Linked DNA regions of Tribolium castaneum. The protein of the gene in region 2 interacts with the protein of the main gene of each other region in a pairwise test. Links are inferred from orthologs where the notes say so. Each region holds a gene or a part of one and is shown on either strand. Other genes may lie near its edges.

Region 1 (4,201 bases), on a different chromosome or scaffold from region 2:
ACAGCATTTTGTGACTCATCCCCGGGTTGTTATTTTACTGCGAATGGAAGGAAAGCAGGAAAACCGTGTTCGCACATATAAACACCAGCGATAAAAATTCAAAGCGTGGAAAGAAACTTTCAGTCGCCGATAAGTTCTTGCAGAGTTAAGTGTTTTTCCTTCGCTAATAAAAAGCACAATGTCGGGCCCTACGGTGAGTTTAATTTTTATTTTTCAAGTTGGATTTAAAAATTCCGATTCTAGCTATTCTCATTTCCTATCAAAGGGGCTACTAAAAGTTTTGGAACGACCCTTCAAGTCACAGACGATCAAAACGTACTCAAAATTGGGCAGAGTTTCACTCCCCCAGCTACTACCCTCATCAGCGAAATAACCAACAGTACGGTTACTGCAGAAACTGCTACCACTCCTGAGATTTCTCAAAATATTACAACAACGATTACCACCGTGATAACCGAAGTGACCGACAGTACGACCGAAACAATCGGTATTTTTGAAAACAACATCACTTCAGCAGTGGCCGAAATAAAAAACAGTACACAAAATACAACTTCAACCCCACTTGACGTATTTTCTTCAACTACGGATGTTTCGAACCAAATATATTACGAAGGATACGACGTTGAGGGAAAAACTTTGTACGTTGTTTTGGGAGTTATAATCGTCAGTCTGCTCTTAATTATCGTCATTCTTATCGTCGTTTATAAGCGATATAAAGCCAGCCGTTCAGGATCGCTTGATTGTGCAACCGATTTGAGCCAAGTTACCATCTCAAACGGAAGAATGAAATCGTATTAATTATATTTGTGATAATCTGTTATATTTTACTATCATTATATTTTTGTTACTCGCTTAGGTAGGTTTATTTATATCCTCAAAATGTTATTGCCGAAATAAATTCTTGGTTTATAAATTATAATCTAGGTTTTTTATTGAACACGTCCAGTTTTTCATGTTTTATCAGTTAAGTAATGAAATTACTTTTGTGTACTGTGCAGCACAGACGTGACAAAAAATTTAAGTTAAACACTAAACAAAACATTTTTTAGCGATTTGTTTCAAACAAAAATTGTTGAATTGTTACTCACACGTTAACAATCATCACAATTAAATTTTATAACCATTTAAAACACCAATTAACATTTTATCTGTAAAAAGTGTGGTGATTTGTATTGTTGAGTCTGAATGGTACAAAACGCTGCCACTTTTTCGATTTTTTCTGGTTAAAAATTAAGAACACAAACATTAGTCAGGCGTTTTGGGCAAAATTAAATCTCATTAATTACGGTTTAAAGGGAAAATAAATAAAACCGTGAATACCAAATAACAAAATAGAAAGAACTTAACCTAACTTTCTTACGGTTCTAAAACTTACGTTTATTTGCCGGGCTTCCAAAAGTCGACTGGTTTGCATTTCCGAACGAAAATGCCATAACTGCATTAAATTTAACGTTAGTATTTATATAAAAATAGTAATTACAATTTTTTATGTATTCACAAATTGAACTTAACGAATTGACAGAACTGTCAAACTTCAAACCTAGGTTATACACCGGCAATTTCACAAAATTTCAGCGTTTTCTGTACAAAAAAATACGAAATCAAAAAGTCGCTCATGTGTTTATGTTAATTATCTGGAAATCTATCCATTTCAGGGTTTTACGTTTTTTTAAGCTCATTCCTTTGTATTTCAATTCGGGCTGGCGAACTTTCGGCTTTCATCCCCTTGTCAAGTGTCATTCATTCCTGACATTTGGCATTTGCAATTGTTGGGTTGTGTTTTTTGCACTTTGATATTGCAATGTTTTTGTGTTAAAATTTAGTAGCGTAAGAGTTAGCCTTGATTAGTTTAGCCGAAAAAGTGCGCATTGTTTTATGGGGTTTAAACCGCGGTAGATCCTGTGTCGGTGAATTTAATCCAATTTTTCAATGGCTGAAAGCAACGGCGAAATGGACGACGATATCATCATTAACGACCAAGACGGCCTTCCCAACGTGCACCCCAACCTGCTGGCGGAGGCCGACATCGACAGCCCCGAGCATGTGACCGACGACGAGTTCGAGGACCTGCCGACGTCCCTCATCGTCACCAACATCCACGACAGTGTCTTCACCTCGCCCGGTAATCCGCCCCCAGCCCTCACCCGATCTGACCGTAAAATTGCAGAGAAAAAGCGCGAAATGGAGAACCTGTTCCGGAACTTCGACCCGGACGTGACATTCCAGTGGCTGCGCAGTTTCCGAAGACTGAGAGTGAACTTCCAGACGCCCGTGGCAGCCGCCAGCGCCCGCATTCAGCTCCACCAATACAAAATCAACGACTCAGTGATTACGTGTTACTTTGCTCAACCCGTCACCCCCGTCAAAAACCCCAGCCTGCAGCCGCCAGCCCCCTTCAAGCAGTTCCTAATCTCGCCGCCGGCGTCGCCCCCCCTCGACTGGGAGCCCCGGCCGGAAGGTGAGCCCATTATCAATCATGACCTTCTTGCAGCTTTGGCCACCCTCACGCCGGGGGCGTCGCACGAGGTGCACCCCCCCTCCCCCGGCCAGCCCAGCATCGTGGTGCACACGGCCCTGGGGGCGGACGGCGTGGGGGCCAAAGGCAGGATGCCACAGACGTCGTGTCCGGAACGGAGTTAATGATTTGTACAGGTCTTCAAGGTTATTTTAAGTGTGAGCTTCAGAGCCTCTCAATATGTCAATTTCTCTCTATGTAGAATCTGTCACTCATTTATTATGGAATTACGTGATTCATTTGTTGGTTGTAACTGTATCATTAATTTAACTCAATGTGATAATAAAGGTGTTGCTAATAAAAGATAATTTCCTAAAGTACTCAGCGGGAATTTGAGACAGGTTGGCCCTGAGTTTAATGCCATCAGCTGGCAACTTCAAACAGGAATCTGTAATTATTTATTGAAGAAAACAGCAACCAATTTTATATTCAACCTAGATTCAAGCAATTGATTATGAAATTGGGGTGGAAAAAATTATCAGAAGTACTCAGTTTAGAAGAAATTTTCTTTTTGTAATTACAAAACTCGAGAACTTCCTTTGTATGTTTATTAATGACAACGAATTTAAATGTTTAGTTCATGCTAGTCTTTAGTCTGTGATTTTTTCTCTTTTCACCAGATTATTTATAAATAGTTTCGTATATTGTTTATTTTTTGCTTACAATCTTTACACGAGTTACGAAATTCGGTAACTTTAAAAATGATAAAACTAAAATTTTATTGGTTTATTTGGTTGTGACAAAAATTATCGATTTAAAGTTGCTGCAGTTTCGTCGAAAACAATATTGATCAACTTTATGAATAAAAAAGAGTGTAAACGTACCAAAAATACGGATACGTATTTTGTAAAATGGCTATGTATATTTTGTATAGTCGTAATGTATGTCCACTGACTTTCTCGAATTATTCTGCAATTATGAAGCTTGAAATTACATAATTACGTATGGGATTAAGTTTATTTTTAGATAATTTGTGCCTGTTTCCGACTATTTTTCAAGCTATATCCCTGAACAATAGTTCGAACAATGTCCGTATCCACCTCTTTATTTCAATGGTAATAAAATAAACAAAAAGACGTTAACTATGTATCTATGTGTAAATAAAGTTATTCGTTGATAAATCAGTTCTTTCTTTAATTTTTTTCATCGGAATTACAAATTGAATTTTCTCCCCACCCGATTACTCGTAAATCCAAAGGCGATTTTACTTTTATAAAAATATTTATTTTATGAATAAATAGACAATAAGTCCACACTCCTACTACACTAACAGTCGCTAAAGCCGCGCTTCACCTGGTGACCCCCAGCGGTTGCATTTGCTCGGAAGTTGGTGGCTTGGAAGTGACAGTTTCTTCCTCATCCGGAGTCTTCTTCTTGCAACATGACGTGAAGAACGTATCGCCTTTCCCGAATTCTTCGCCGTCTTGTATAGTTTGCGGCATGGGTTTGTTCAAAGTTTCCGGAAGGAATAAGGTCAAAAACCCGGAAATTAGCGCAATAACTGCGAAAATAATGGACGGTAGGGTTGGATCGAACGAATCCAGGAGTGTTATAAGGGGAGTTAGGGCTCCGGAAGTCCGGGCACACATTGCCCCGATTCCGAGGGCCGAGTTTCGGACAACAGTCGGGAAAAGTTCGGCCGAGTAATTGTAAATAATTGCGAAAGAACTGGCGATTAGGAATTTG
Region 2 (3,824 bases):
TTAAGAATCTTAAGATGGGTTTATAAAATAATCGAAAGGATAGTCCATATTTCAGATATAGAAACGGTTTTAGAAACGTATCAGAGAAGAATCTTAAGAAAAATTAAACAATAGTTGCAGCCAGAAACAATGCTAAAAACTAATTTGGAACAATTCGAAACGAAACTATCTATGAATTTTGCAAAGATTTAGAGTGAAATCTAAGAGGGAATTAAGAGAATTTTGAATACAGTCTACAAAATACTTCTACAGAAGAATATAGAGAAGAATTTATAAAAGAATCTAACGATGAGTACAAAATAATGTAACGATCAGTTCAGATTACAAAAACAATGCTAAAATATAATCTACAAAAATTCCAAACGAAACTATCAAAGAATTTTACAAAGACGTAGTTGGCATCTTAAGAAAAATCTAGAGAAAAGTACACAAACAATGCTAAAAATTATTATGGAAGAATTCGAAGCGAAACTAGAGAATAATTTAAAAGAATTGAAGTGATAGAGTAGAATTTAATAGAGAATTTGGAGAATGTAAAGAAGTGTTTATCAAAGAATTTTTAAACATTCGTATAAAAAAGCGATCACACTACAAAATAATTTAAAGGACAGCCCAGATTACAAAAACAATATAATCTGTAAAAATTCCAAACGACACTATCGAAGAATTTTGCTAAAACGTAGAGTGAAATCTAAAAGAGAAGTCTTAAAACAGTAGCTCATTGACAATAAAAACAGATTCAGAATCCTTCAACAATTTTTCATATGATAATCTGGAGTATCAATTATTATTGTATGAATTGTTTAACTTCGATAAAAAAAAGAGTTCTGATACTTTACTGCACGTAATACCGTTATTTTCAAGAAGGAAACGACGAAACTTTGACTTGTCTCAAAAACTGTTATAAAGACAATTTCGCAGTCCTCAGAAATTTTTTTATAAGATAAACTTACATTTGAGTTGGTTTGATTGTTTTTGATTATTGAAACCTTGACTGATTGAGATCATAAGAAGTGCCGCTCGCAGACAAAATTTGACAACAGATTCAAAATCCTTAAATTATTTTGCTTATCAAAAGTTGGAGTATCAATTATTTAAACATTCGAATTCCTAAGTACACAATTATAAGCACTCTCCTCTACTCCAACAAAAATTTATCTTAAGGAACCAAATTCTGATCGATATCTTAATGAAAAAACAGACATTTTTGGAATCTTCGGATAACTTTCCGTAAGAAAAAATCACATTTGATTCTCCATTTCGTCAAAAAGAGTTATATTTTCAGTATCTTAGTTTTACAATGCCTTGTAACGTGAAAAATGGCCAGGTTTTGGAACGACTTACGTTTAAAATGTCAAAATCTAATTTTGAGTTTAATTATTTAGTGCTCTCTTTTTTTAAGGGGTAATTGGATTTGGACATTTTTGAAGCGATCCCTCACAAACTAATGCACAAACCTGCAGCCGGCCAATGTGATGTCCTATTTAAGTGTAGCTCACGAGTGTGCATTAGATTGGGTGTGATTGTGGTCCTGTGGCGTTTCTTCAGCCGGCGACGGTGGCGCATCTTTCCTCGGAGGCATGCGCTCATTGATGGCGTCTAAACCTTTGGCTTCCGCGAAGCTCGTTATCTTATGATTAGGAGAGAATCCTTGCAACGCTAAAAACACAAGCATTTTCCATACACTATCTCAAACGAATCGATAAAACGCACCGTTTTTGAGACTCGTCTTTCCGCCTGATAACGCGCCTAGAGGCAGCGCACCCGTAGGCGTGAGACCTTTAAGTTGCAACACTGATTCACTTTCCTCCCTGGAACAATCGAGTTAATCGACACGACCTAACTCGTCCGAAACTTTACCTTAGAACAGAGAATACTCGAGCCATTTTACCAATCGCCCGGATTTTGTTACGTATCACTTCTTTCCTCAAGTTTGCTGCTGTACCTAAAAACCGAACTGATTTAGCGGTTTGGTTACAACCGAATTGAACGAAAAGTGCTACACTTGCTAATCTAATAATGGATGTTGTTATGACAAAGAGATTTTTTCTGTCTTGAGACACTCTGTATTAGTGAGTGATGGGCGTTATGTACATGCACAGTGAGCATTCACAGCGACTGAAACTTACCAAACGATGAGTTGTTGATCGGAACCATCGATGAAGAAATCGACAGCAAATGGGCAGTGGCGCAAAGTGTAGCGTAGAGTTATAGAAAAAAACAAAACAAACGGTGCATGTAGAAAATATAGCGTCAAACATACAAGTAACAAAATTTTCAGCAAATATTTATTTATCAAATGGTTGTGGATACTTGTGTGCATCCACAACGCGAAAGATAACAACAGATTTGATAAAAAAATCTTTAGTCAAAAGCTAGAACTAAAAGATTAAAGCAAAAACACTAAGCGAGAAAAATCGTAAAAAACGATAAAGGAGATTAAAATAGAAAAAATATGACAGTACTGCACTAGAATCGTATCAATGAGACAAATTCTTTTCTTATTTTTTAAAGAGTATTAATAATGCCAAATATATAACGAGTTACATTTATAAATTGATCAAAAAATATGCATCATGCTTGCTACATCTAAATCGGCTACGTCTAACGTAAATCTGAAGGAAACATAAACTAGTCTACCAATGGGATGAAGAACTCGAAAACGAAATAAAAACAGTATGAAAACGTGGTCAGGGTGGTTAGTGTAAAAATCCAAAATAAGAAAAGTTAATTTGGTCGTAATCGTTCGAATTGAGGAAAAGAAAAATTGCAAAAACAAGCCGTTTGGGAACAATGCCTATTCACAATTGAAAAACCCAAACAAACTTAAAAACAATGCACAACCTCCGAGTCCCGTCGAAAGTGAGTCAATAAGAATTGTTCCACAAAAAAACGCGCTTAATTTTGTTCAAAATGATCGTTAATGCAGTGTTATTTTAACTCCTCTGTTTAAGCTGCTTTGTTCTGTGATAACTTACCAGGTTTTTTAATAACAATTTTTGCCTGTTTCGCTGTGTGGGCGCGATTCCAAGGCGAATATAGACAAATAGTGAAAAATAGAAGTGTCAGAATAGAAGAAAAAATATAAGCAATACGAGTGCATGGATTCACTTTGTGAAAATCATATCTTTTTGAGAGAGATTTTAAGATTGAGTGCCGGAGAATTATGCAGTGCTTTTAGAAGTAAATATCTGACAGATATCGCAAAATTTTCAATGGGACAAGATGCTACTTGGGGTCATAAACAACAAAACATCGAAAAATTGGGTATTTACATCAACATATTTGGCAATATTTTTGATTGTTTGAACAACCCTTGCAAGTCGATCAAACTCAGGGGTTTATAACTAATTCATTGGTGTGGTTTTCAGCTAAATGCACACCAACGAATCGATCATTAAAAAAATTAGCCGACCGTCAAAGTAATAGATTTAGCTTGAACCAAAATCAAAAACTAGAAACGAAAAAACAAAAACACGTAACTATTCAGGCAGACTAATTTTAATTACGTACTACAAGTTTAAAGCAAATTATTGTTGGGAATAAAAACTGAACCTTACCATCTGTAATTCCAAGTAGCATTGAAAAATAACAAAAGGTATTTTTTTGCATTATTTTTGGTTGAAGAAAAATAATAAGCGTGTTGTTATTATCACTAGCTACCATTTTGAGTGAACATCAATTACAACAAATATTTTCGCGAAAGTAACAGGTTTTTGACGCAAAGGACTGCTCCAAGCTCCAATGGCGTCTATTTTTCTTTTACTAATAATTTTGTTAGTTATTTAAGCTCTTTTGGAAAAACGCTAACATTTTCATTCTTA

What was found.
Region 1: the proteins of serine/threonine-protein phosphatase 2B catalytic subunit 2 (region 2) and sra interact in binary tests that used the Caenorhabditis elegans proteins (3 or more experiments, as listed by UniProt). The link is inferred for Tribolium castaneum from reciprocal best matches to the Caenorhabditis elegans genes tax-6 and rcan-1.

Annotation. Positions count from the first base shown.
Region 1 is NC_087397.1:2,068,192-2,072,392, forward strand, and holds sra (protein sarah), read left to right. Parts: upstream 1-1,745; 5' UTR 1,746-1,929; coding exon 1,930-2,122; intron 2,123-2,167; coding exon 2,168-2,640; 3' UTR 2,641-3,639; downstream 3,640-4,201. Other genes in the region: probable nucleoporin Nup54, read right to left, coding at 1,376-1,433; organic cation transporter protein, read right to left, coding at 3,805-4,201. UniProt on the Caenorhabditis elegans protein: Inhibits tax-6/calcineurin A phosphatase activity and thereby negatively regulates calcineurin-mediated functions.
Region 2 is NC_087394.1:25,326,128-25,329,951, reverse strand, and holds part of serine/threonine-protein phosphatase 2B catalytic subunit 2, read right to left. Parts: intron 3,012-3,824; coding exon 2,979-3,011; intron 1,940-2,978; coding exon 1,861-1,939; intron 1,812-1,860; coding exon 1,714-1,811; intron 1,660-1,713; coding exon 1,496-1,659; 3' UTR 1,458-1,495; intron 1,444-1,457; exon of another isoform or gene 1,429-1,443; coding exon of another isoform or gene 1,403-1,428; intron 1-1,402. Other genes in the region: Pep (zinc finger protein on ecdysone puffs), read left to right, coding at 1,403-1,428. UniProt on the Caenorhabditis elegans protein: Calcium-dependent, calmodulin-stimulated protein phosphatase. Dephosphorylates arrd-17. Dephosphorylates daf-16 at 'Ser-319' which regulates daf-16 nuclear translocation. Dephosphorylates calcium permeable cation channel pkd-2 at 'Ser-534'.